Drosophila melanogaster: one gene and its partners. The protein of the gene in region 4 interacts with the protein of the main gene of each other region in a pairwise test. Each region holds a gene or a part of one and is shown on either strand. Other genes may lie near its edges.

Evidence for each region.
Region 1: the proteins of Mad1 (region 4) and dbo interact in a two-hybrid assay, tested with the Drosophila melanogaster proteins (one large-scale study listed by BioGRID).
Region 2: the proteins of Mad1 (region 4) and Unc-115a interact in a two-hybrid assay, tested with the Drosophila melanogaster proteins (one large-scale study listed by BioGRID).
Region 3: the proteins of Mad1 (region 4) and CG5516 interact in a two-hybrid assay, tested with the Drosophila melanogaster proteins (one large-scale study listed by BioGRID).

The regions. Positions count from the first base shown.
Region 1 is NT_037436.4:15,825,001-15,832,547, reverse strand, and holds dbo (diablo), read right to left. Parts: upstream 5,661-7,547; 5' UTR 5,452-5,660; intron 4,603-5,451; 5' UTR 4,546-4,602; coding exon 4,497-4,545; intron 4,230-4,496; coding exon 3,511-4,229; intron 3,363-3,510; coding exon 2,671-3,362; intron 2,533-2,670; coding exon 2,343-2,532; intron 2,278-2,342; coding exon 2,056-2,277; 3' UTR 1,970-2,055; coding exon of another isoform or gene 1,945-1,969; 3' UTR 544-1,944; downstream 1-543. Other genes in the region: CG12713 (uncharacterized protein), read right to left, coding at 1-20; DCP2 (decapping protein 2), read left to right, coding at 6,969-7,077. UniProt on the Drosophila melanogaster protein: Probable substrate-specific adapter of an E3 ubiquitin-protein ligase complex which mediates the ubiquitination and subsequent proteasomal degradation of target proteins. May have a role in synapse differentiation and growth.
Region 2 is NT_033777.3:9,693,898-9,701,466, forward strand, and holds Unc-115a (uncoordinated 115a), read right to left. Parts: upstream 6,024-7,569; 5' UTR 5,732-6,023; coding exon 5,614-5,731; exon of another isoform or gene 5,535-5,613; coding exon of another isoform or gene 5,465-5,534; coding exon 5,154-5,464; intron 5,093-5,153; coding exon 4,421-5,092; intron 4,068-4,420; coding exon 4,011-4,067; intron 3,865-4,010; coding exon 3,311-3,864; intron 3,243-3,310; coding exon 3,069-3,242; intron 2,843-3,068; coding exon 2,703-2,842; intron 2,611-2,702; coding exon 2,525-2,610; intron 2,032-2,524; coding exon of another isoform or gene 1,925-2,031; intron 1,757-1,924; coding exon 1,690-1,756; intron 1,627-1,689; coding exon 1,385-1,626; intron 1,327-1,384; coding exon 1,213-1,326; 3' UTR 489-1,212; downstream 1-488. Other genes in the region: CG32939 (uncharacterized protein), read left to right, coding at 1-140.
Region 3 is NT_033777.3:15,961,974-15,965,304, reverse strand, and holds CG5516 (uncharacterized protein), read right to left. Parts: upstream 1,422-3,331; 5' UTR 1,255-1,421; coding exon 1,208-1,254; intron 1,141-1,207; coding exon 657-1,140; 3' UTR 544-656; downstream 1-543. Other genes in the region: CG32856 (uncharacterized protein), read left to right, coding at 121-231, 286-498; CG4287 (uncharacterized protein), read left to right, coding at 1,766-2,767.
Region 4 is NT_033778.4:9,288,457-9,293,141, forward strand, and holds Mad1 (mitotic arrest-deficient 1), read right to left. Parts: upstream 3,110-4,685; 5' UTR 3,002-3,109; coding exon 2,881-3,001; intron 2,825-2,880; coding exon 1,770-2,824; intron 1,717-1,769; coding exon 905-1,716; intron 844-904; coding exon 639-843; 3' UTR 501-638; downstream 1-500. Other genes in the region: Cog6 (component of oligomeric golgi complex 6), read left to right, coding at 1-456.

The DNA of each region.
Region 1 (7,547 bases), on a different chromosome or scaffold from region 4:
TCCGGAATTTGGGACATCATTTCCGGCCAGAAATACAAAACTATTTCAGCGAACGTATGAAAGAGCGCCAGAATAAACAGCTGTTTAACGTACGCTAATCGAATACACATTTTAATTTATCGATAGCTGACGTGCCTGAAGTTTCTCCACGTCGCGAAGCGTTCACACTGGTCGGCAGTGTATATCGAAATGTTCCGAATGCATTTAGTTCAATTATTTTCATAAAATTGTTATCATAATATTGACTTCTTGAAAAATGTTTAAAATAACAAAATGTGTGTAGTGCCACCAAATCAGTGTGTGCGAATTAAGGCCTAAAACAAAAACAATCGGGTTCGAGCATCGGCTATCGGTAAAGGATCCAATATCGTAACTATTGTACCGATGCGTACCAGTACCGCGTAACGGTACATTGATTGCATTACAAATTTATAAATTATAGAATATAATACAAAATAGTACACTTGGATATTTATTTTTAATTATTTTTTGGCAGCAATTTCCGCCCTTGGCTGTAATGTATTGAATGAAACAAAGTGTCTTAATTTTGATATATTTTTATTTTTATATATTCTTATACATAGCACGGGTTTACGATCATTTCTTAGGTTAACACTTCTATTATTTGCGTTAAGCACTTTTACCACTCAACACAACTAGGAAATGTTATTTTTTAACTACGCATAATGGGTGGTATGCGAATTTTTGTATAATTGTTGACCATTTTGACTTAAAGCTATAATATAAATAAGCTTGGTTTTTTATAAATGCTATTCTTATTCATCATTTGGAAGCAAAGATCATTCCTTTTTGCTCGATTTAACAACAGTTTATAAATGTGCACCTAAAATAAACTAAATGAGATACGAAAGCGTGTAATAAATAATAATTTTGAATAAATAATTGTTTAATAGTGTTGGTGTAAAAGGCAACAAAGAAAATGTGTTGTTATTGAGAGTCTACTTGTGTTTTAACTCCCTTATCTAAGCGATTAATTCGAGTTGGTTCATTCAGCTCGATGGTCAAACTTGGTTTAACAATAAGTCATCTTAAAACTTGACCTGATTCCGGCCGAAAACTCTTACCGGTTTACACGATCTAGGATTAACAATATTAAAATTTATTACCTTAAAGTTGATCTTACGGCTGCGTAATTGTTAATTGTTACTATTGAATTATCTTGGGCTAGGTCTAACTTCTTCATTGTGTGTGTGTGTGATTACCTTAATGGTTTTTTTTTAAGCTTGACAGGCTGAATATTCATTATTTTTTTAAATTCTTTGCAATTATTCGGTTCACTTCATATAGTCGTGGTATTATTGAAGACGTTTGCAAAGATTTAAAGTGTACTTGACTAAACAACAGCGTTTAGTTGGTCGATCGAAATATTGCACCATTGTGATGTTTAATTTCGGACAAACTTTCTTGAATTCACTCCTTAAATCTAAATTATTTTAATACCAATTTGTTACTTGACTTTAGAGCTCTTCGTTTAAGGATTTACAACTAATCGAATTCGTTTCTAGGTTAATATTTGATTTTGTTTTGTTTTTTTCGAAAGAAGGCATGGTTATGAGCTAGCGATTTCCATGAAATACCACCGGCAACATTTAGATATTAAGTTATTTATAAAATATACTTGCTTAACATACAGTAGAATCATATATAATTACGCACAGGAGTGATGGGGATGTGTTATTGCAGGTGAACGTGGGAACAATGCTAACTCTAATACTATTCCGGAAAAGTCTAACAAACATGCGCTTTAGGCTCTACCAAATAAACAATTAACAATTAATACAAAGCGATTACACTGCTAGTAGACAATGGGGCGAAAAGATGTTTTGTTTAGTCGATTAGATTTGGCTTCGATTGCGGATATTGTTAGTAGAAGTGCGGCGGCGGCAACGTTTGCGAGGGCAACGTTGTCGGCTGCTGTTCCCATCAGACAACAGAATCTTTCCGTATCCTGAATTTGTTAGCATGTTTTCGGGGGGAAAAGAGAGACAAGACAACATTTCATCAGCAATGGAAGGGATGGGAGTTGAGTTAGTTTCAGGAATTCGGTTGCTTAAAACTATTTTCGCACCACATATAGTTCTCAGTCTGAGGGGCACGCATAACGCCCACGCCGCCGCCCAGTCGGCGGTAGTTCATGCAGCCGCACAAACGCCATTGGTTCGTCTCTGGGTCGTAGACCTCGATGGTTTTCAAATAGGCGGAACCATCAAAGCCGCCCACAGCATACAGCTGTCCATTGACGACGGCCAGGCCAACCTAAAATGGTGCGATTTCATTTAATACAATACTATTCGCCGAGAAAAAGTGTAACAAAAACTCACCCCACTGCGGCGGGAGGTCATGGCCACGATGGGGCTCCAGGTATTGGTCAGTGGATTGTAGCGCTCGGCGGACGAGAGCTCCATGCAATCGTCTCGCCCGCCGACGGCGTAAATGTAGTTATTGAACACAGCACAGCCCAGGTGCTTGCGTCGCGTTGACATCGGGCTGACTGCTACCCATTTGTTGTGTCTGTAATGATAAAATCGGGGCAATGTAAATCAAACAAATACTACGTTCAAGTGCAATGTACATTAAGGTCATTTGTTACAAGCGATAGAAAATGTACTTGTACGTCTAAAGCTTTTAAATGCTTTATTTATGATTTACCTGGGATCATATCGCTCTACGGTGTTCAACGGGCACTGTCCATCGGAGCCGCCAATTGCGTAGAGAAATCCTCCAAGCACGGCTACCGCCACTCCCAGTCGCCTTGTTGTCATCGGTGCCACTTTCGACCATTTGTTCTCTTTTGGATCGTAGCGCTCCACGTGGTTCAAACATTGAACGCCATCCTGGCCACCCACCGCGTACAAGAAGCCGTCGAGCACAGCCACGCCGACGCTGGTGCGGCAGGAAGTGGTGGGCGCAACGTCGCAGGACCATTGATTCGTTTGTGGATCATAACGCTCGATGCTATTCAGATAGCTCTGGCCATCGTGACCGCCCACGGCGTAAAGTAGATCATTTAACACGGCCACGCCAACTCCGCAGCGTCGTTTGCTCATGGGAGCGACCATTTTCCAGTCGTTGGTCTGAGGATCGAAACGCTCCACGGAGGCAATAGCATCGCCGGAACACCAACCGCCCACGGCGAACAGGACTTCGCCTCGTCGAGTTGGCTTTCGCGGTCTGGTGCGTGGACCCTGCATCAGCGGTCGCTCCTGCGGAAGCAACAGATAGTTCTTAGCCTCATCCACCAAATCCCGGCAGGCCTCGTCGCTGCGCACCAGGAGATCAGAGCCCACCGTGCCAACCAGGAACTTTGGCGACAGCAGAGGCAGACGGACGTGTTGGAGCACCTGAGAATATTCGAAAATATCAATTCATTATTTATTTATTAGTTGCAATACTTAAAAATTGAGCTGTTTATATTATTCCAAAGTAATTATCAAACGGAACAAGTAGGAATCGGTGAGTAGTAATCAGATATGGTTTACAGTAGCTCACCTGTGCCAGATGTTGTCGCCGCTCGGCGACATTGTACTTGAGCCAGGACATGACCGCGTTGAAGACCTGCTCCTCGGAGCGCACGTTTAGCTCGTCGCTGCAAATGATGTCCACCAGCTGGCCGACGGGGAGCAGCAGAAACTCCTCGCTCTCCATCACCTCCTGGAAGTTGTGCTGCGTGAATTTGTCGGCGATCCGTAGAAGTTCCCGGCAGGAGTGTGTGTCGGCAAAGGCGCGTATGCCCAGGCAGTTGGTGGGATCCAATTGCCGTTTGAGGAACTCGCAGCAGATGTCCTGAATCTCAACCAGTTGAAGCAGGCAGGCGGCGGGAAGGAGGGTCTGGACATTCGACTCCTCGACGATTATGTGGGCGGTGTAACAAAAGTCGATGAGCAGCTCCATGGCATTCTCATCGATGTCGCGTATGGTGACCTCAGTCTGGCGCGATTCCTCCAATTCGCCAGTGAACATGGCACAGAAGTAGGAGCTGCAGGCGGACAGGATTACCCGGTGGGCAAAGATCTTCCGTCCGCCCACGTTGAGCACCACATCGCAGAGCTCCCGATGGCGCCGTAGCATATTTAGTTCAGTGAGCGTGACCTTCGGATGTTTCTCGGACGTGTGAGAGAGGCGGGCGGGCGACGGAGGTCGGTCCACTGCCGTAGATCCAACGGAGGAGCCGCCACCAGCCGTGGAATTACCACCGGTACCGGTGACAGCTGTTGGCATACATAATGATTTTGAGTATAAAAATACCATATGTTTGGAATAGTACAAATAAACTTAATGGTACCGATTAATTGGAATTGTGAATGAGAGTTCAAATACTTTTTTATGAAGGAAAAACCTTTTCTAATAGTATTTTTTAGCTGAAAGATCATAGTCTTACGAACAAATATGAAGTATTTAAAGTCACATGAGGCACACAGGTTGCCCCTGGCTTGCTCTCTTCCCAATTCCAAACCAAGCTCCTATCAAATCCTTACCAGCATCCCGTGGTTGAGCGGTGGAGCCCGAGCCCGGCAGGTCGCCCATTCTGTTCGCTGCTAAGCGCAGCGGGCCGGAAGCAACCCAACCCCACACGGCGTCTATCTGTGGGCAGAAATGGTAGTATATAGTAGAATAGTGATTAATGGTCAAGTCAAAGTAAATTAAATCAATGCGTAGGTAGGGCGTAGAAGGGCGGCATTGAACTCGATTATAAGTAAGTAAGTAACTAATCAATTTACAAGGACATTGTGCTTCGTTTAATATCTTCTTGAAGCGACTGTTTACTTAATAAATTAAGTAATTGTACATTTTTGATGCAAATAATTCATATTCTGGGCACTGGATGTGGAAATTCTGATTTATTTTTCTTGTCCTCCGCCCTTTTGCACCACCCACACACAGACATGCTGTGTAACACGCACACATTCACAACTTCGGATCTGCGGATACTAAGGTGGACCTTTCGACTAAAGAAACATCTTAACACTAATACGAGTGTTATTTAAGGTATTCATTCAACACGTTAAGTTTAACAATCCACCATTCGTATAAATGATATAAAATAAATATTAATAATCCTTAAATATTTAGAAACTTTAAGCTAAAAGATCGTTACTTGAAACTTCTGTTTTGAATCTTAAAATAGCTAAGTTTTAAAATTAAAACATGTACTTTAATTGGTAAACAAATTGGCAGGTTGAGTTAATCGATGGTTAAGATAAACAGTTCTCTAGTTCAATAATATGCTTGTGGAATTATCTTCAACCTAATTTAATTAAAACTGAAATCTCTTTTATTCATGTGATATATGTTCAATCGCTTTTACAACATTCACTCCATGGAACACCTTAAAACTGAAAGGTAACCTGGTCCACCCACAAGCACACACCACACACACACACACGCGGATGATGTTGGTTTAGATTTCGATGTATATGTTGGTGTCCCAACCTTTGCGTCTCTGTTCTCTACGGATACAAAGCACGTCCAGGGCCAGCTGCAGGCGGAAAATTTCGAAAATGCAATCTTGATGGCTTAAAAGGACCACATCGAAGATTTTCCTTGCGCGAATTGCACTTTTCAGTACGGAAAAATCGTTTTTTGGTTGGCCTGGAAAAGTCGAAACACGAAACGATTGGTATGGCGATAGAGATGTGAGAAATGCATAACAATATCAGTGTATCGATATTTTTGAGAATACACTTATTTATATTGTGATACTTTGGTGGACATTTCGTTATATCGATATTGTTATTAAATCGTAAACGTAAGCTAATTTTAAGGAGATCTGTTTGAAATATCTCTTCACATTTTTTTTCGAAATTAAAATAAGAGATCACATATTTTTAAATAATTAAAAATAAAATAAACACTATTTGTATACAACTACAAGTAAGTGCAACGGAAGGGAATCTAACTGTGAATTATTGAAATCATTATAATAATCTCTTAAAATTTTCATTAGTAAACTGTCTTTTAATATTCCCGAAAAAATAAGCAAATAACGTAAGACAGGCTTTGTAAGAGTACATTTATCACAGAGCCAACTGTATTTGGCTTCCCTGGTCGCTAAAGAAACGGTATATTTTGGTATCTTAGTGAGCAGCATGCTGGTATTTTTTATTTCATACTATTTCTATACGCGACGCTGAAGAGGAAGGCGAGTTTTGAGCAGTTGAAAAGCCCGTTAAATAGTGCAAAATAGTAGCTAATTTTAAGTGCAACGTGTAAATAAAGGCAATTTAGATCGCGAAAAAGTTCGGTGAGCAAATAATAATTTGAGATTGGAAAGTGGAAAGTACGTGAACTGGGCGAGAAAAGAAAACGGAAAAACGTGAGACTGTGTGCGTGCGAAGAATTTTCCGTCTCCCTCGCACCAAAGTGGAGCGCACTCAATTATTTTGTGGATGGAGTGGAACACAAACAACAAAAACGACAACGACTATAGCAATAACAAAAACGACGACACAGCAACAAAAACAGCAATAGCAACAACAGAATTAAATGCAAATGCAAAACATGTTGAGGGAAAGAGAGCGAAAATCGAGAGAACAATAGCAAAAGGATGTAATGCAACCGATGGAATAACTAGAGTACAAGTACAAAAATTGCATTGGAAATTTAAATTCGTGCGACAAAAGCGGACGATTGCAGAAATTTTCGAAACTTGGCAGCCATATTTACTACAAAAGCAACGCCGTTGTAAAAATACGTGACAAAACGCTTACACACACATACTCACATTCGTACACCCACACACAGTTGCGCTCTCTCACACACATACACACAGTTGCGCTCTCTCACACATAAACACACAAGCGTATCGAAAGACTGGTGCAGACAGAGAGAGACGCGAATGTGAATTAACAAACAAACAAAAATATTTTGCGAAAAAGACAAACACAAAAAGTAAAGCCAATAAAGTGTATTACATAAACAAACGGAGCTCCGATATCTAAATAAATATTATGGAAATCGCACCACTGATCAATAACGCCGTCGCTGTCGTCACAGCCTCTGCCTCTGCCGCCGTCTCTGCCTCTGCTAGCGTCGGCAGTAGCAGCAAGGATGATAACGGTAGGCGGGTCTCTAGATGATAAGCGGTACACTTCCAGTGGGTTCATAATAAACTATAAAAATAATAAAATATATGTAAATACAAAGCATAAAGTGTAGTACGTGCTCGAAAGAGTCACACTTTCTCGTTAAAGAACTTCACGTTCTATCCATATTATATGATTATTATGTTTCAAAATCCTTTATAATCAAAAGCGAATTAGACAATCAGAATATCTCCCACCCAGCAATTCATAATCTATATAAAATATAGTCAGAATATTGCAATCATACAAAAATAAATACAAACACAAGGACTTAAGTATTTGGCTTTAATCAAAATATATCCATTTGTTTCTTTGCCTTAATTAGTTTACATCATTAATAATCGTATATTTTTAAGGCTAATATCACGTAGCTAAAAACTAAAGAACTAGGCTAATTTTTTATCTGGTAAGATAAAAAGTAAATAAAAATTTCAGCGGCCTTGA
Region 2 (7,569 bases), on a different chromosome or scaffold from region 4:
GCGACTTTTATGATGATTTTGGGTTCGTTACGCGGCAGATCTACCACAAAAAGATCATTGGCAGCAGTTTGGCAGTGATGAAAACCCAGCTGACCTATGGGTTACGTACCGACGGAGCAGCTTTGCACAAGCAAAACTAGTGCGTTACCAATGGTGCAATATAGATGATAGATAAATGGATTCTGTGGAATCTTATTTAATATTTACGTATTTATTCTGTGAACTTTACATTCCAGTCACATATTGCGTCCCGAACTCAAATCACACCGAATTATGCCCTTGATGGCGTTTCTTTATCGATTCGACAATGTTTAAAGCCAGTTTAGCCAATATATAGTAAGCTAATACTCCACAAACATTCCTGCATGTCGACAGACTTTAGCCGTTGTCGGCTCGACAAAGAGTAAATTCCGTCTAGGATTAAGAAGAAACTTTATAATCTCCACACTCGAAGTTTTAATAATTGTAAACACGTTGACACTGCTTTTGTCCTGTTTTATTATCTCTGGTTTATTCTTTGACATATTCTATTTAAATAAATAAATAAAATATTTAGTAATAAATAAAATTTGCGTAATGATTTAGCGTAAATTTGATGCCACACATCTAATGTTTCGCATTTTGCTGTGTGATTCTGCTGTAGGTACATTAATTTCTTATTCTTTGATGCATTTCTCGGTTCTGTAGCCCGTTACATGGTTGAATTAAGGTGTAATTTGGAAAAAGAGTCCAGTTTATGTTTGCGTTTAAATTGCCATAGCACTGCGTATAAAAAGCCTACATGCCGGGGACATGCAATGTTTAACTAATTTCATATATCATCTGTCTGTATACACTTCGTTTTTTATTGGGATTTTATGTTCCTTTCATATAGTTGTTCTCAGTTACAATTTTGCGTTAGCGCAACTAATTCTTAAAAAAATAAACAGGAGCTGCCGGCTAGTTGCTCCGCACTGTAAATGTAACTATGTATTTAAATTTAGTTTAGTTGGTTTCACTTGCATCAACTATTTAAAGCGTGTTTCAAAACTGGCTGTGAAATTAGCATAGTTTCCCGTTTCGTTTTCATTTTATATATTGATTCTCATCTCCTGCCACGTGAGTTATAGCCATCTGCTGTTAAGGTAAATTGAATTCTTTTGGTTTCGTCGCAAACAGCCTCCTCCTCCACTTGGGTTGCTATCCTCGCATGCTGCGCCTTCCACTTGCCTCCTAGAAGAGCTTCACACGCCGCTTCAGCTCGTTGCGTCGCCACTGGGGTAGCCGATAGAACTCCGACCTGGCGCACTGCAAGATGTGTTCGAATTCGATGTCCGACAGATGGCGCTGTGGTGATAGAGAGCGTTATTTGCGTTCTGTCTGTGAAGTTGGCTTCATAACTTACCTCTAGGTTACAGCGATCCACGTCCGAGGGCAGACGGTAGTTTGTGATTAGCAGTAGGTGATAGGGATAGATCTTGGCCGGCTCGTGCACCAGCATCGAATGGGACATGTTGGGCAGACTGCGCCGGATGAGTCCGGCCTGCGGATAGTGGTAGGAGAGTGCTCCTGAGTAAGTGCTCGAGGCGGGCAGGTCGCCGCCCATCAGAGCTCGCCTATCGCCCTCGGTGATCGAGTCCACAGAAGCTGCCAGAGGAGAATTATGTTATTCTTTCGCCGAGCCGGGTTTTCAAAATATATTTCACTTACCCTCCGATTTGCCGCAGCTCAAATCTGTGCTGTGGGTCTTGTCGCCCAGTCCTCCATAGGAGAAGTCCTGTTTTCGAAAAGGGCATGGGATTAGTTTTCTGATCAAATTGAGGGACACATGCAACAATAATAAACGAAAAACCAGTGCAAGTTACAGGTGATACCAACGGGCATCCAAACACAAGACGGGGACTCAAAGGACTCTACGGCATAGCAACAACGAAAGCGGTCTTACAGTGGCACCATGCATCGTGGCCGCAGCGGATGTGGTGGAGCTGAATGTGTGGGAGCGTGGTGCTAGCCCGTATCCTGGCTTGGGCACATGGCGCAGCGCACTCACCACTGAGCAGATGTGGATGTAGATGTACATGTTGATGGTGTTCAAGTGATGTTGATATGTTCATGATGCAAATGTTCGAGTTTTAGTTGGTCAAGTGTGGATGGGTGTTAGTTTTTTGAGTTATTTGTTGTCAGGTGTCAGGGCAACAATAGCAAACACATAGTTGTTAGGAGTGGCGCAGGATGGGTGGATGGGTGGGATTGGGTTTTCAGACACGCAATGAAGCAGCAGACCAACCAGTTGAGACATATGCGAAACAGTTGTTAGTTCATCCAGGTGAGCAAACCAGTGGCGGCATTGGAAAGTGAGAGAAACAAGAAACAAATACCGTCGTAACTATTTTGGGATTACATATAAGCGGATAGGTTCGTGTGGTAGTGGGTAAGCTATAAGCTACATAACCGACAGCCCGGCACCAAGGATATAATCTGATCTGATCGGATCGGATCGGATCTGATGCGATCTATGCCGATCTGAGCAACAGGCAGCACTTACGGAGCTGAAGCCATTGCGTATATAGGGCAGAGTCGTCGTTTTGAATCCGTATCCGGGCTTGGGCGGCGATCGGTAGGAATGTATGGCTATAAACGTAAGTGGGCTAATATATAATATCGGTATCGAATCGCTATTTGCCTGAAAATCGAAACTAGGACAATGCTCTCTAGAGGATTACCATTGTAGCTGGGCGCGTTTCCAAGCGATTTGCCAAGCGAGCCACGGTAGCTGGTGGAGCGATCGAACATCTCGTCCTCGTAGAAGGGCTTCTGGTGGTCCAGATTGCGCGATGGCGATGCTCCAATGGGCGATTCGTATCTGTGTAATCAAGATGTCATAGGATTAGTATTACTACACTATACTATATACTATAACCATATGTTTTGCTATCTTATCGTTCTATTTTTAAAACAAATAATAATAGATTTCTTCAAGTGCAAAATACACCGAGCACGAACTAGAAGATACATTTTTCAATTTTCTTATAACGATCAATTTTCATTATCATCATTTTTCAATTTTCTTATAACGATCAATATCTTACCTCAATTTGTAGAGTGGCTCCTTGGAAGCGGAGGGCGTCCTGGATGCGTTGCGCGGATCCAAATTGTTCTGCTTCCACTTCCTGTACTTGGCGTGCTCCTTGAGGTCCTTGGCAATCGCCGATCCGATGCCCGAGTTAAGCTTTTCCAGCTGTTCGGCTTCGCGTTGAAGGCGTCTGTATTTTTGGGAAGAGATTTAATAGGATCTAGGATCATAGCATGCACAAGAGATTCCAATACTCACTGCTGCTCCTCGCCATTCTTGACCTTGCCATTCGGCTTGCCATTCTCCACATTCTCGTCCTCATCATCGGAGGCGGGCACTCCCTTGTAGGTATCACTGTATCGCCGCCTACGCTCCGGATCCGTGTAGGGATACGGCGGAGCGGGAAAGTCATCCCGCTCGATCTTGGGCTGCTCACCTGGCGGCGGCTTCTTGGCGGCCGGATAGTGAGACAGTTCAATCGGCTCCTCGTTGTTCATGCCAGGACTCTTGGGACGCGGCGTCTCCGAGCGGATGGCGTCCACCAGCACCTTCATGGCGCTGCGGGTCCGCGAGTGGGGACGCGACGGCGGGCGGCTTCCGGCCACGGATCCCGCATTGCTGGCGGTGGTCGCGTATGAGGAGGGCCGATGGAAGTGCGGCGACAGCGGCGTCTTGTCATACGGATCGATCGGCTTGCGCAGATAGTGCGGCGCATCCGTCAGATAGCTGTAGGTGTAGATGCGCGAGATGTCCTCGGCATTGGGTCGTCCGTACTCCCGGAGTATCAGACCCGGACTCACCGTTCGGTAGTGCTGCAAATTAAGTGGGATTAGTCCTGGGCTCTCATTTCAAAGTTTAAATACATGCAGTGCCGTGTGTTTTTCTTTTCGGTTTTAGTATTTTCAAAAACGATGGCAGAAAATGAGGGGAAATCATAAAGTAAAATTATAAAACAAACCTTGCGGCTAGAGGAATAAAGTGAACCATTAAAGCTCGGAGTTCTGGAGCGGATGTACTGAAAACGAACGAAAAAATAAAAACGCAAGCTCAAAACAACTAAAATGCAAGTAACTGAAATTATAAAATCATAAGTGCTGTGTGTAGGTGCAAAAAGGGGGTGGTAAATTGAGATGGGTGATATTTTCAGGGTGCCTATATAAATATAATATATAAGGTTCTAAAATAGTTCTAAAATATCACCCATTCTAGTATGAAATTTGATTTTAAATGCGTGTGCCTTTCGTGAATTTTGCAGCATTCAAATTAGTTGCAAGCTCAGCAGCCTCTTTAAACTCGGGATTGTTGTGTTGGAGTCTCGAGAATTATCTCAGTACCAGCGGTTTATCATCTGTAGATCCGACTACTTACCATCTCGCTAAGGGCACTGGAGCTCATCCGGTCGCATTCAGTGTCTGTGAAGTTGCCATTGGAGGCACCTCCGACCACCGACGAAGTGCCTCCGCCGCCGTTCAAAATTATGCCGGACTCGGAGGGACCCGGACCGCATCGCGGATGCCAGATGGCACTGCCCTGCAGGTACATCTCCTCGCCGTCGCCGAAGGGATCGCCGCACTTTGTGCAGCGGGCACAGGTCGGATGGAAGTGGTGGTTGTCGCCCGCCTGGAGCACCTTGCCGCTAATGAAGCGACTGCAGTAGGCACACTTCACCCCGAATCCCTTCTGGTAGCACTTCTCGCAGTAGGGCACCGCGTCTTTGCCCATGTACTCCCCATTGAGCACCGCCTGGCAGGCCTTGCACCGGAAACAAGAGACATGCCACTGCCGGTCCAACGCCACCAGTGCCTGGCCCTCCTTCAGCAGCTCCCCACAGCCGGCACAGTCATTGGGATCGTAGTCCTCCTTGAGGTGCGCCTTATGAGAGATCACACTGCCGTGCTGCTGGTGGGCAGTGGCTCTCGTCGGACTCTCCGCCGGAGGAGCTGGCGAGGAGACGCCTCCACCCGTCGCCTGGCGACTGGGCGACACTGGAGCACCCGTGACGCATTGCTCGCAAAGCACCTCCTTTCCGGTGTTGGTCACCTGTGAGGAGGAATATGTGATTAGTTACTTATCACTCGATCTGTGGAGGGTTTCAGCTCACCTTACTGCCCGACTTGAAGGGCTGCTTGCACTTGGAGCAGGTGAAGCACTTCTGGTGATAGGTCTTGCCCATGGTGCTGACCACCTCGCCCTCCACATACTGCTGGCAATTTGCGCACTTGGTGCCGTACAGCCGCTGATAGTCCGGTATGCAATAGTAGGCGTTGTCCTTTGTGAAGAATCCGCCGGTGGCCAGGGACTTCTTGCACTGGCAGCACTGGAAGCAGGCCTTGTGGAAGTGGTTGTCCGCCACGCGGAGCACCTCGCCGGAGCACTTCTTCGTGCATTTCGCACAGTAGATTTTTTGTTTACCTGTTTGCGGGGAAAAGGGGACGAAAACGAAGGGAGAACTACGGTTAGTAGAGCCTGACATTAAATTCATTCAATCAGTACTATCGCCAGATTACGTATACGCAGTGTTGCGCTGATGTCATATGCATGTGATGCGATAATGCCCCAACCTTGCCCCGTTTTACCGAGCTCAGTTCGAAGCTCCGTTCCCAATGTGCTAGGGTATATCGGTCTGGTCTTGTCTGTTTGTGGATGTTTCGGAATGGATATATATATTAATATATACATCACAACTTATCGTATATCGTATGTTGCGAGATTCGTTGTATGTGTGTGTGCGTTGTTTCCCCCACACTTGTGTGCCTATGTAAGCACTTGTATTGACAGTCACAACCAGGCCAACTCTTCTACACACCCCGACATGGCCGTAAGTCGTTTGTAGTCTGACTCACGGGTCTGGCAAGCCATTAATCTTATCATTGATAAGGCCAAGGGCAGATATTTTCTTTATATAAAGACAGCACACACACAAACACTGCTCGTTAATGTACACACAAGTGTGGAACAGGTTAAATAGATGTGTGACATGGAGCCCCCAGTTTTGCATATGTCCATGGGGGTAGCATGCACATGTGTACATAGTGTGAGAAATATCCCAACCAACTGCAAATAAACTGCAAGGTAGAAGCAAAGACACTAGAATAACTAGTGTCTTTGGTAGAAGATAACAAGCATTCATAAAGAATTACTTGGAATGCGAAAGGGGGACAAAACTGCCACCCTTTGAGAATCACTGAAAGTAAAGCGACTTCTGGGAAGACTCTGCCGTATTGAAACTTTAGATACGTTTGCTTTATCACCTGTTGAATCAATAATCTGACCAGACTCAGATATTTGCTATCTGATCGTTTGTATCTGGTTCAGGAGCTATATATTCTCATATATATTCTCATGAGTTGACTTACATGCCAACACATAGTGTTCCTTATTGCAAGATCAGTCATGAAGGGAACTTGGAGCTCGGAACTCGGCACCATGACGGCTGAACGCATCGAAACTAATTGTTGGCCATGACTGATGTGCTGATCTGTTCTGGCGGCTTTCTTGTCCGCCGGAGGCAGAAGTCTGCGGTTGATTAAATAGACAGCGGAACATCCCAGCCACACCACATCGGCTAAAAGCAGCCGCTTGCAGTGCATAACAAGAGTAAAGATACATATACATACATACATATGCATATGTGGATAAATGTGTGTGTATGTATATAAGAGCGACCGCATTGTATCGCGCTGTCTGAACATTTTTCACCATCTCACTGTTGTTTTTTCAGGCCTTTTGGATTTTTTTGTTTTTCCCCAATTTAGTCGGCAGTTGTGTTGCTTTTTCATATTTGGGTTGCTTCCAAAATAGAAATTATTGATAAGCCCGTAGCTCAGGTTCATGTGTGCCATTAGCTTGTTCTATAATAGTGACGTATGTCTGCGCACTAACGGTATCAGCCATTATCTTGTATTAAATTGTTTATAGCATTCTCTTAATGTTTCCTATTCATGGAGAACTAATCAAGAACATTAAATTGTGTGACTAGAATAAGAACTATTCTGACTAGACTCATTAAAAACTTTAAAAGCTTCATTTGTAAGTAGATTTAAATGTGCTAAGTGATAAGAGGAAAACTAAGAATTATATAGAATTTAGAGGGAGAGCAACGGTCTAGATGTTCTTTCCACTGTTTATTTTGAATTTAAAACCAATACTATTACTTAATATACACGATCAATCTACCAGGTTACCAACACATCTCAATATGGCGAGAATAGTACATACACAAAAATTCAAGAATGAATATTTATTTGTGCGGTGACGCCACCGAAATTTTTCACATTCGGCGGTCCAGTTGGAATGAAAGACGACCTGATAATACAAACTCAGATACAGATACACCGGCTCAGTTTCAGATACATTTACGGATACATGTGTATATTGTTCGACAGAGAGCGGGCTTTCGTCACCAACTTGGACTTCCGCCCCATAGTTTGTTTAAAGTTCGTGTACGTGCTCTGCCCGTTTTAATTAATTTCATTATGTTTCGCTGACTATCTGCCTTGTTTATTATGCAATCACAC
Region 3 (3,331 bases), on a different chromosome or scaffold from region 4:
AGTTTTTATAAGTAATCTAAATTCAATTCATTTATTTCCTTGTCCATTGGAAGTATACCATATAAGGCCTTCATTAAAAAGGGGTCTTTCTAAGGTTAAAGTTTATTATTTGTTTTCAAAATGCTGCAAACAAATCGAGTCCTTCAAAAAGAGCAGGCTGAACTATTTGCTATCCAGAAGAAACTCGACCGAGTGCTCCCCGTCATTCAGGAGGCATTAAATTCACTAAAGGTATCTACAAATCTCTTGCTTCAATGACGGTTTTCCCAATTCAGTGTTCCACAGGTAGAGGAGCTGCATCTCAAGTCTCAGGTGGTGGGCCAGCAGAACCCAAAAACGCAGTGCTCCCCTGGAAGGGATCCCCTCCACATAGATCTGTCGGTGGAGCAGTCCCCAATCACAACTGTGATGGAGTCCCATCTCGTCAACAGCCAGCAAATAGATCTGGATCTCGTAAGCCAAATGAGGCGTTTCGAGGAGGAAGTCGACTCGGATTAAAATTGTTATTAAGGCTGGAACTTTACCAGAAAAACGTACATGTTGGGAGCATTAAAATATAAACAATACAGTACCAAAAGTATGTTCATTTTCGGTGTAAGTGTGGGAAAACTAAACTAGTAAAGCTACATACTACAGACCACAAATCGGTCTCTTGATTACTCTTGATCGTCAGAAGATTCAGGTGAACTCCCGGCTCGTTTTTTCTTTTTTTGTGGAGCTCCCTGCTTTTGATCCTCGCTGCTGTCGCTGTCCGAGCCACTTCCACTGGAGTCTGACGAGCTGCCTTCCTCGTCGTCCGAATCCGAACTGGAGCTGCTCGAGTCTGATTCGGATGAGGAGCCCGATTCGCTGCTGCTGTCTGAGCTGTCCGACGAGCTGGAGGAGGACGAGGAGCTCTTGCTCGTTTTCCGCTTTCGACGGACCTTCTTTCCTTCCGAGGAAGCCACTTCCGAGTGCTCCTCCACCTGGTTCTTGGGTGCGTCAGCCTCCTTTTGGGACATACGCTTGCTTAGCTGCTTGGTACGCGAGCTCCGGTGGACGTATTTGCGCTTCTCCTTGCACTCATAGCTCCAGTGTCCGATCTGCAGGCACTTCTGGCACCGGATGCCATTGGGAAAGTCTGCTGCTTGCTTTGCGGATCTGTTGTTACAGAATTCGTAGGTTACAACAAAAAAGCCGGCTGGGGTACTTCTTAAACGCGACTAACCTCTTCTTTTGCGCTAATTTGCGGGCAGCTAGGCCCACCAAAGTCATCCTGAAGCACTCGAGCAGACGCTGTTGGGAGGAAATCTTGATGTGGGTGGAAACCAACGTGGCCGGGTGGAAAAACTGGGAAAAATGAGTATCAAAAATGTTTTTTATAATTTTTTTCGTCACATTAGCGATAGTCCACTGAAAATTGTATACTTCGCAAATCGACTGTATATGGTATGGTCACCCTTATTGTTATCGGCTATCGAACTCAACAGCTGCTTGCCTAATTTGTGTCTACCTGGTTTATGTTGAAATGTCTGAATTTTAAAGTTAATTAAGCCAAAATTTAAGTGCATTATGCATGGTCGTAAAAAAAATAAGAAATAAGCAACAGCTGACAGCTATTTCACCCTTAATTGACTGGCACAAATTGCTTGGTCAAACAATAACAAAAGCGCTGTGCTGACTAAGCGGCGAAAGTGGTTGCAACAAAGTCCAATCACTATCAATCGGTAAGGTTGCTGCAGGTCATTTGCTGACCAGTAATAAAGGATTTCATACACAGCTAGCCATGGACAACAGCGCGTTGATGCCACAGGCGAGCGGACGTCATATGCCGCCCGAGGAACTGGCCATGCAAGCACTAACCAAGCAGCTTTACAAGTCTCGTCTCTTCCGCGGTTATTATATGGAACGCTGCTTGGTGGAGCAGGTGTCCGGCTACCGGGACGTGGTGGTGCTTCAACGCAGTGAGCGAGAGTTGGAGAAGCTGCTGCACTCGAGTGCCGGCCAATTACAAAAGTTTTATCAACGCTTCGTGCCCAATATGTGGGTGGGCATCACCTATGGGAGTTACGGAAGTTACCAGCACAAAGCAGATCCTGGTCAACTGGAAACCTGCATCTGGACAGAGATGAATGATCTGGCTTTTGGAGAGTATTGGTTTAGCATCAAGACCCTTCGCTTCCGGGACCATGAAGTCCAGTTCAAACTGAAGATGATAAGGCCCGTGGAGCCAGAGCTGATGGCGACGCCGAGGAGATCACTGATTCTTAATAGAAGTAGCCCTGTTAAGGCGATCACAGCGGGTGGGGAAAACTCCTCCTCCAAGCCGGATGAAGTGGCGGAGCAAATTCAGCTGGGCCTTAATGATTTTTTGGCTGTGCTGCAACAGTGGGGTGATGGAGTCAAACAAACCGTGTACGACTTCATGACCAACGATGTCAACAAGAGGAACATTTTGGGCACCATTCGGTTTCTGGGTCTACTAATTTTCTCTGCCTTGGGTGGAGCCGCACTAGCGCTACGATTCCTAGGCGTATTTGCTGTGCGATTCCTGTTTGAGCTGAGTCGTTTCACACATACAGCCACTCCAATAGTGTTTAAACTAATCGAGTTTCTGAACAAGATTGTGGGTGCTATCTTCATACTTTTGACCATGATTTGGAAAGACATTGTCACTCGTGGACATCCGGAACCGAAACAGCAGCAGCTGCATCTGGAGGCAAGTAGCCGCTTCAAGAGCATCCAATACGAGCGTTCCGAACCAAATCGACGTAGTCCCCGGTGGTGACCCGCCACTAAAAGCACATTAATGTCTAGCAAAGTGTTCCGAGGTGTAAGGGCAACGAAAAATCATTGAAATTGTGTTACTAGCCGTAAGCAAAGCGAAGCCAATCCCAATCCCCGCTTCGAGTCCGAGGGTATTTGCCCTGCAAATATGGGGACACCTATGAGATTTACAGATTTTAGTCAATTGCAATATTGTAAATTATTAATTGGCGTGCCACTGGCGCACAATCGCATGCTTATTAACCCCACTGTTAATTCATTGTGTATTGTCCAAAAATATGTTTTATTAAATCCGTTTAGTGTTAGATCCTGTAATTTATGTATCGAAAATTATTGTGAATAAATTGAATGCAATATGCGAAAATCGAAATGAAAGAGCTTGGCGTTTCGTTAGTTTTAATAGTTATACACTTTCCCTTTATTACTTTAGTTGATTTTAATCTCGTTAAATTGTTCTCATATATATTTATTATGTATATACTCGTACGTGTTCATGCTGTCGTCTTCGGTCTGTCATCGAACTTTACACAAAATGTTTAATTTATTTTCCGTTTGCTGTGCTTAG
Region 4 (4,685 bases):
TACCTTTTGAACTGTCTGCATCACATGCAAAGCTCGCTGGCTGTCTACGAATATATGGATGAGCGCGTGGAGCGGCTGCAGGCGCAGTCGGATGCCCAGTTGGACACACTGACCTCCGAGCAGGCATCATCGCTGGTGGCGAACCTCAATCTGGGTCCCATCTACGCCATTCTGCAGAGCAATCAATCTAAAATAGAAACAAACCTGCTGAAGATCTTCATGTCCAAGATGGACGCCTTTCTGGAACTACCCGATGTATTGCTCCTGCCGCAGGTGCAGCTCATAATGTCCAGCAGTCACCGGGCCGCCGTTCAGAAGCGATCCTTCAACGTGATCGTGGCCATCTACAAGCAGATCTACGAACGCGTCCACGATCCGGCCAACGGCTTCGAGCAGCCGGAGCAGCTGCTGCACAGAACGCCGGAGCAGGTGGCTCACATCCTGACCTCCACTTAGTGGATTGGGTATTCCAATTTCTATTGTGCATTACTATAATTTATATGTATTTATATGTGGGGAAGTTTATTGTTAGCGTGGTAAAATAAAAAACCAATCGTATATCTGATGCGGACAAGAATAAGTTTCAATGCCTTCATACTCGGCTAGCTTAAGCTAAGACAGACTAAAGTAATGATGACCTAAGTCATCGTGACAGTGGCCTTTTGGAATAGTTCTAGGGTGAGGGCGGAAAAGAATGCGGGAAAGTTGCTGGCTGCCAGCTGCTGATCAATAGGTGGATTGAATGTGTGCGAATATGGCGACTCCAGTAGCGCCAAACAGTTCGATTCGTTGAGGCTGATGTCCAGATAGTCATCCGGTCCCTCTGCAAACATGCTCGATATGCTGCAAGAGAAATATTAAATGTTAGCAACTAAGATGGAGGATCTATGGAATCGCTACCCACCGATAGTTGCTGTTGGCACCGATTCGATCGATCCTATAGCCTAGCAGCATGTAGCACACATCGCGGAACTCCTCTCGGGCCGCCTTGAAGCAATCCCTCATCTTCCGCATCTTGCCATTGGCGGACTCTAATTCGGCTTGAAGTTGATTGAACTCCTTAAAGTTCAGTGTCATGCCGCCCGTGCTGGTGGTTTCATTGAGCCTTTGCTCGTTATCGTCCTCCAACTTCTTGTTGCGCCGCTTGAGTCGCTCAATCTCCGCCTGCAGCTTCTCCATCATGTTTTTGGTGGACTCATAGGCTTCGGCAGCGGGATTTTCACTAAAGTGTACCACCTTGAAGTCCTTCATGTTGAAGTCGCCCCGCAAGCAGCGGTGCATCATCTCCATCTCCAGTTCCTCCTTGCGCCGACGCAGCCGATCGTTTTCCATCCGCAGCGTATCCAGTTCCTTTTTGACGCTATCGTATCCCTCTCCGGCAGGTTCGTTCACAAGCTCCTGCTGGCGCAAGGATTGAATCTCGCGTTCCAACGTGGCACACATGTCCTTGTATCCGGTTACGGTGCGTTCAAGCACCTCCATTCGGACCCGCACCTGCATGTCCTGCGTCATGTCCGCCACACTGGCATTGCTCAGGGTCGTGTCCTTGTCGAAGTTTTCCACCAGTTGTTTGTAGAAGTCGCGCTCCTTAGACACGGTGATCAGTTTGCGCTGCAGTCGCTCCTTGAAGTTCTTGTGGCGTTTCAGTCCGATATTGAGATCCTCGATGTTCTTCAAGTAAATGGCGCACTTATGCTCTAGATCTCGAATTGTGGTCTATAAAATGGAGTCAGATAAATTGGACTTGGAACACATTGGACAAAACCTACATTCAAATGCTTGGTATCCGAAGCCGATGATGTCTTCTCTGCCACGTGAATGATGTCTTCTTTTAGCAGTTGCTCAATGCGCGAGCGTAGGGCCATTGGGCTGACCAAAGTGTTGGCCAAGCAGTGATCCTGGGCCACCTTGACCCATTCCTTGAGTTCTTGCTCCATGTGAAGCAGTTTCACCTGCAGGGAAGCTGCTTCCGCCCGAGCACCTTCCTCCCGCTCCAGTCGCGTTTTGTAGTCGTAGACCTGCTCCTCCAGAAGCAATTTATCGCCTATCAGAGTGTTTAAATGCTTGTTGTGGCTGCGCAGATGCTCCACCTCAGCTAGCAAATCTGGAACACTGGCCAGGCGCTCTCGTGAGGTTTTGACCACCTCCTTCCAGTCGCTATACGACTGAATTTCGAACTCCAGCTCCTGAATGCGATCGTTGGCCACCTTCAAGCTTTGCGTTTGCTTCTCGTGATTGGCGCGCAGCTGCTCGAATCCGGAAGCCCTGGCCTGTAACTCCTCATTGAGTTGACGTAGGCGCTCCAGTTCGTTGCGCGTAGACTGCAGTTCGAGATCGGCCCGCTGGGCTATGCGGCGATATTCGCTCAGTTCGTTGTTGATGCACAGGTGCACATCGCGGGCATCCTCCTTCTGCAGGTACTTCTCCTTCTGCAACTTGAGCGTGGATTCATCGAACTTAAGCCTAAGTTGGTTCAACTCGGCGGTGGCCCGACTGGCCTCATTCTTCAAGACCAGCTCTCGCTTACGAAGCGCCTTAAGATCGTCCTGCAGCTCCAAATTCTTCTTGCTGGTGATGTCGCACTGATCCTTTAAGGCCGTGCTCTTGTTCTCAGCCAGCAATATGGCCTCTTTGTGTTCCCGGCTCTTCTTTTCGATTTCGTTACGCAGCTGAATTACTATGGCCTTGGTTTCGATCAGCTCGGTCCGTAGTTTGCTGTTCTGCAAAGAAGCCATGGAATCGTTGGCGGGCATATTGAGGGAAGAGGCGGTGTCGTTAAGACTGCGTTCCGGTGATTCCCGTTCCCGACGTCGCTTATTGGGTGCTAGTAGAGGAGTTACTTGTTAGTTTCTACGTTCGCGCCTGTAAATTACAACTTACAAACTCCTAAATCGAAGGAGGCGGAAAGCCGGTTGAAAAGTAGTTTCTTGGGTGCCGAATGGGTAATGCTGTCGTTAAAGCGGTCCATCATATCATCTATGCTGCTACGTATGTCGTCCATTTTAAGTTGTATGTGGGAGACCTTAGTTGACGTTTTCAGTAAAGATATTTACTTTTTATTGCTAAAAGAAGTTGGTAAAATATTAATCTTAGAGTGGCTGCAAATATTTAGACAAGAAATGCCAAATATTGGTCATATTTTATTAGTATTAAAGTGGCCGATAACTTTGGCTTTTGTATCCAAAATTGTCACCAATAATCAAATATACGTATATTAATCTGGGAAATAATATCTTAAAAGGGACAGTTGTCTTAAGCAATTTCTTTATTTGGTGTGTTAATATAAAATCAAGAAAACAAATCAAAAGCTAAGTTGGCAGCCCAGTTTAGTATATTCGAGCGTGACTCTTTTCTGCACCACCCAAAAGTATGTTACACGAAATACTACAGGTAAAAGAAATCGCAATCGATAACGATAGTTCTTCGAGTGTTGCCGAAAATAAAAATTGATTTGCATTTCTTCTCGGCTTAAAATGAATTAAATGTTATTGTTTCCGCACCGAAAAAACTCATAAATCGTTAAAACAACAAATTCCGAAATCGGAATTAATTCGAACAATTGAACAACTGCCAAAAACTAGAACGTATGTGAAGCGTGTGTGTCGTACATACCAAGAGATAAGGACAAAAAACGGTTAAAAGAAAGCTTTCAAGAAAGAGAGTATAGAAAATAAATTTTACTAAAGTAACAAAAAAAAAACAACGAAACGCGTGTGCGTGTGCAACAAAAAAGTGTATGTCAAATAAGAAAATGTGGCTCCAGCGATAACGGTACTCCAATGTGCTCTCTCGCACGCACACAGAAGCATCCCGCACACGTACACCACCACCACTGCCAAAAAGCAAATCCTGCCCAACAGCCGCACCTATAAAAGTGGGCGTGGGTTGACCCAAGTTACTGTAACAAATTTGCAAAAAGTGATGCATGCTAATTGTTTAAACAAATCCCAGCTTTCCTAATCAAATACCTTTGCGAATTCCAATACACACCTATACACACATACCCACGCAGTGATTGGTGTGGAGAGGAAGAAGGAAAGGAAGCCAAAGGACAGGATAGAAAAGCAAGAGGAAGAACGAAACAGCATCGGCGCGTTGGAGAAATGTGCGGGAAGAGAAGATTGAAAATAAACGTGTAGTAGAGAATTTTTGAGACACTCACACGCACACACTCCTCCCACACTCTTTCTCTCTGTCTCTCCGTCTATACCGCTTGCCGCCTACACACACACATACTTAAGTAGACGCACGAGAGTTCTCGTATCGCGAAAAGCGTGTGCTTTGTTGTTGCCTCTCCCACTCCCTCGCTCTAAGAGGCGCTCCCGTGTTGTTTTTGTTGTTATTGCCGCTGAGCAAATGGCAGACCCTCTAAGCGGGTGCCGCTGGTGATAACATGTCGTAATGGCCAGAGAGGTAAGTGCAAACGTGCTAAAAGCAAAGCAAAGCCGGCAACTACGGCTTAACCGTTTTAGTTTTCCCGATCACCACGGTACCGCAAGTTACTTTGCCAAAATCAGCTGTTCTCACTTCATCACCATCCCCCATCATTCACATCTGCAACCAACGGTGTTAGCCTCTCCCAACATTAAAACAGTTAACCCTATGTCATATTTTTCCAAAGAAGTTTAACCCAACACTACAACTTAATAATAAAAATGCTGCGTGTAACAAATAATTATTCTCTG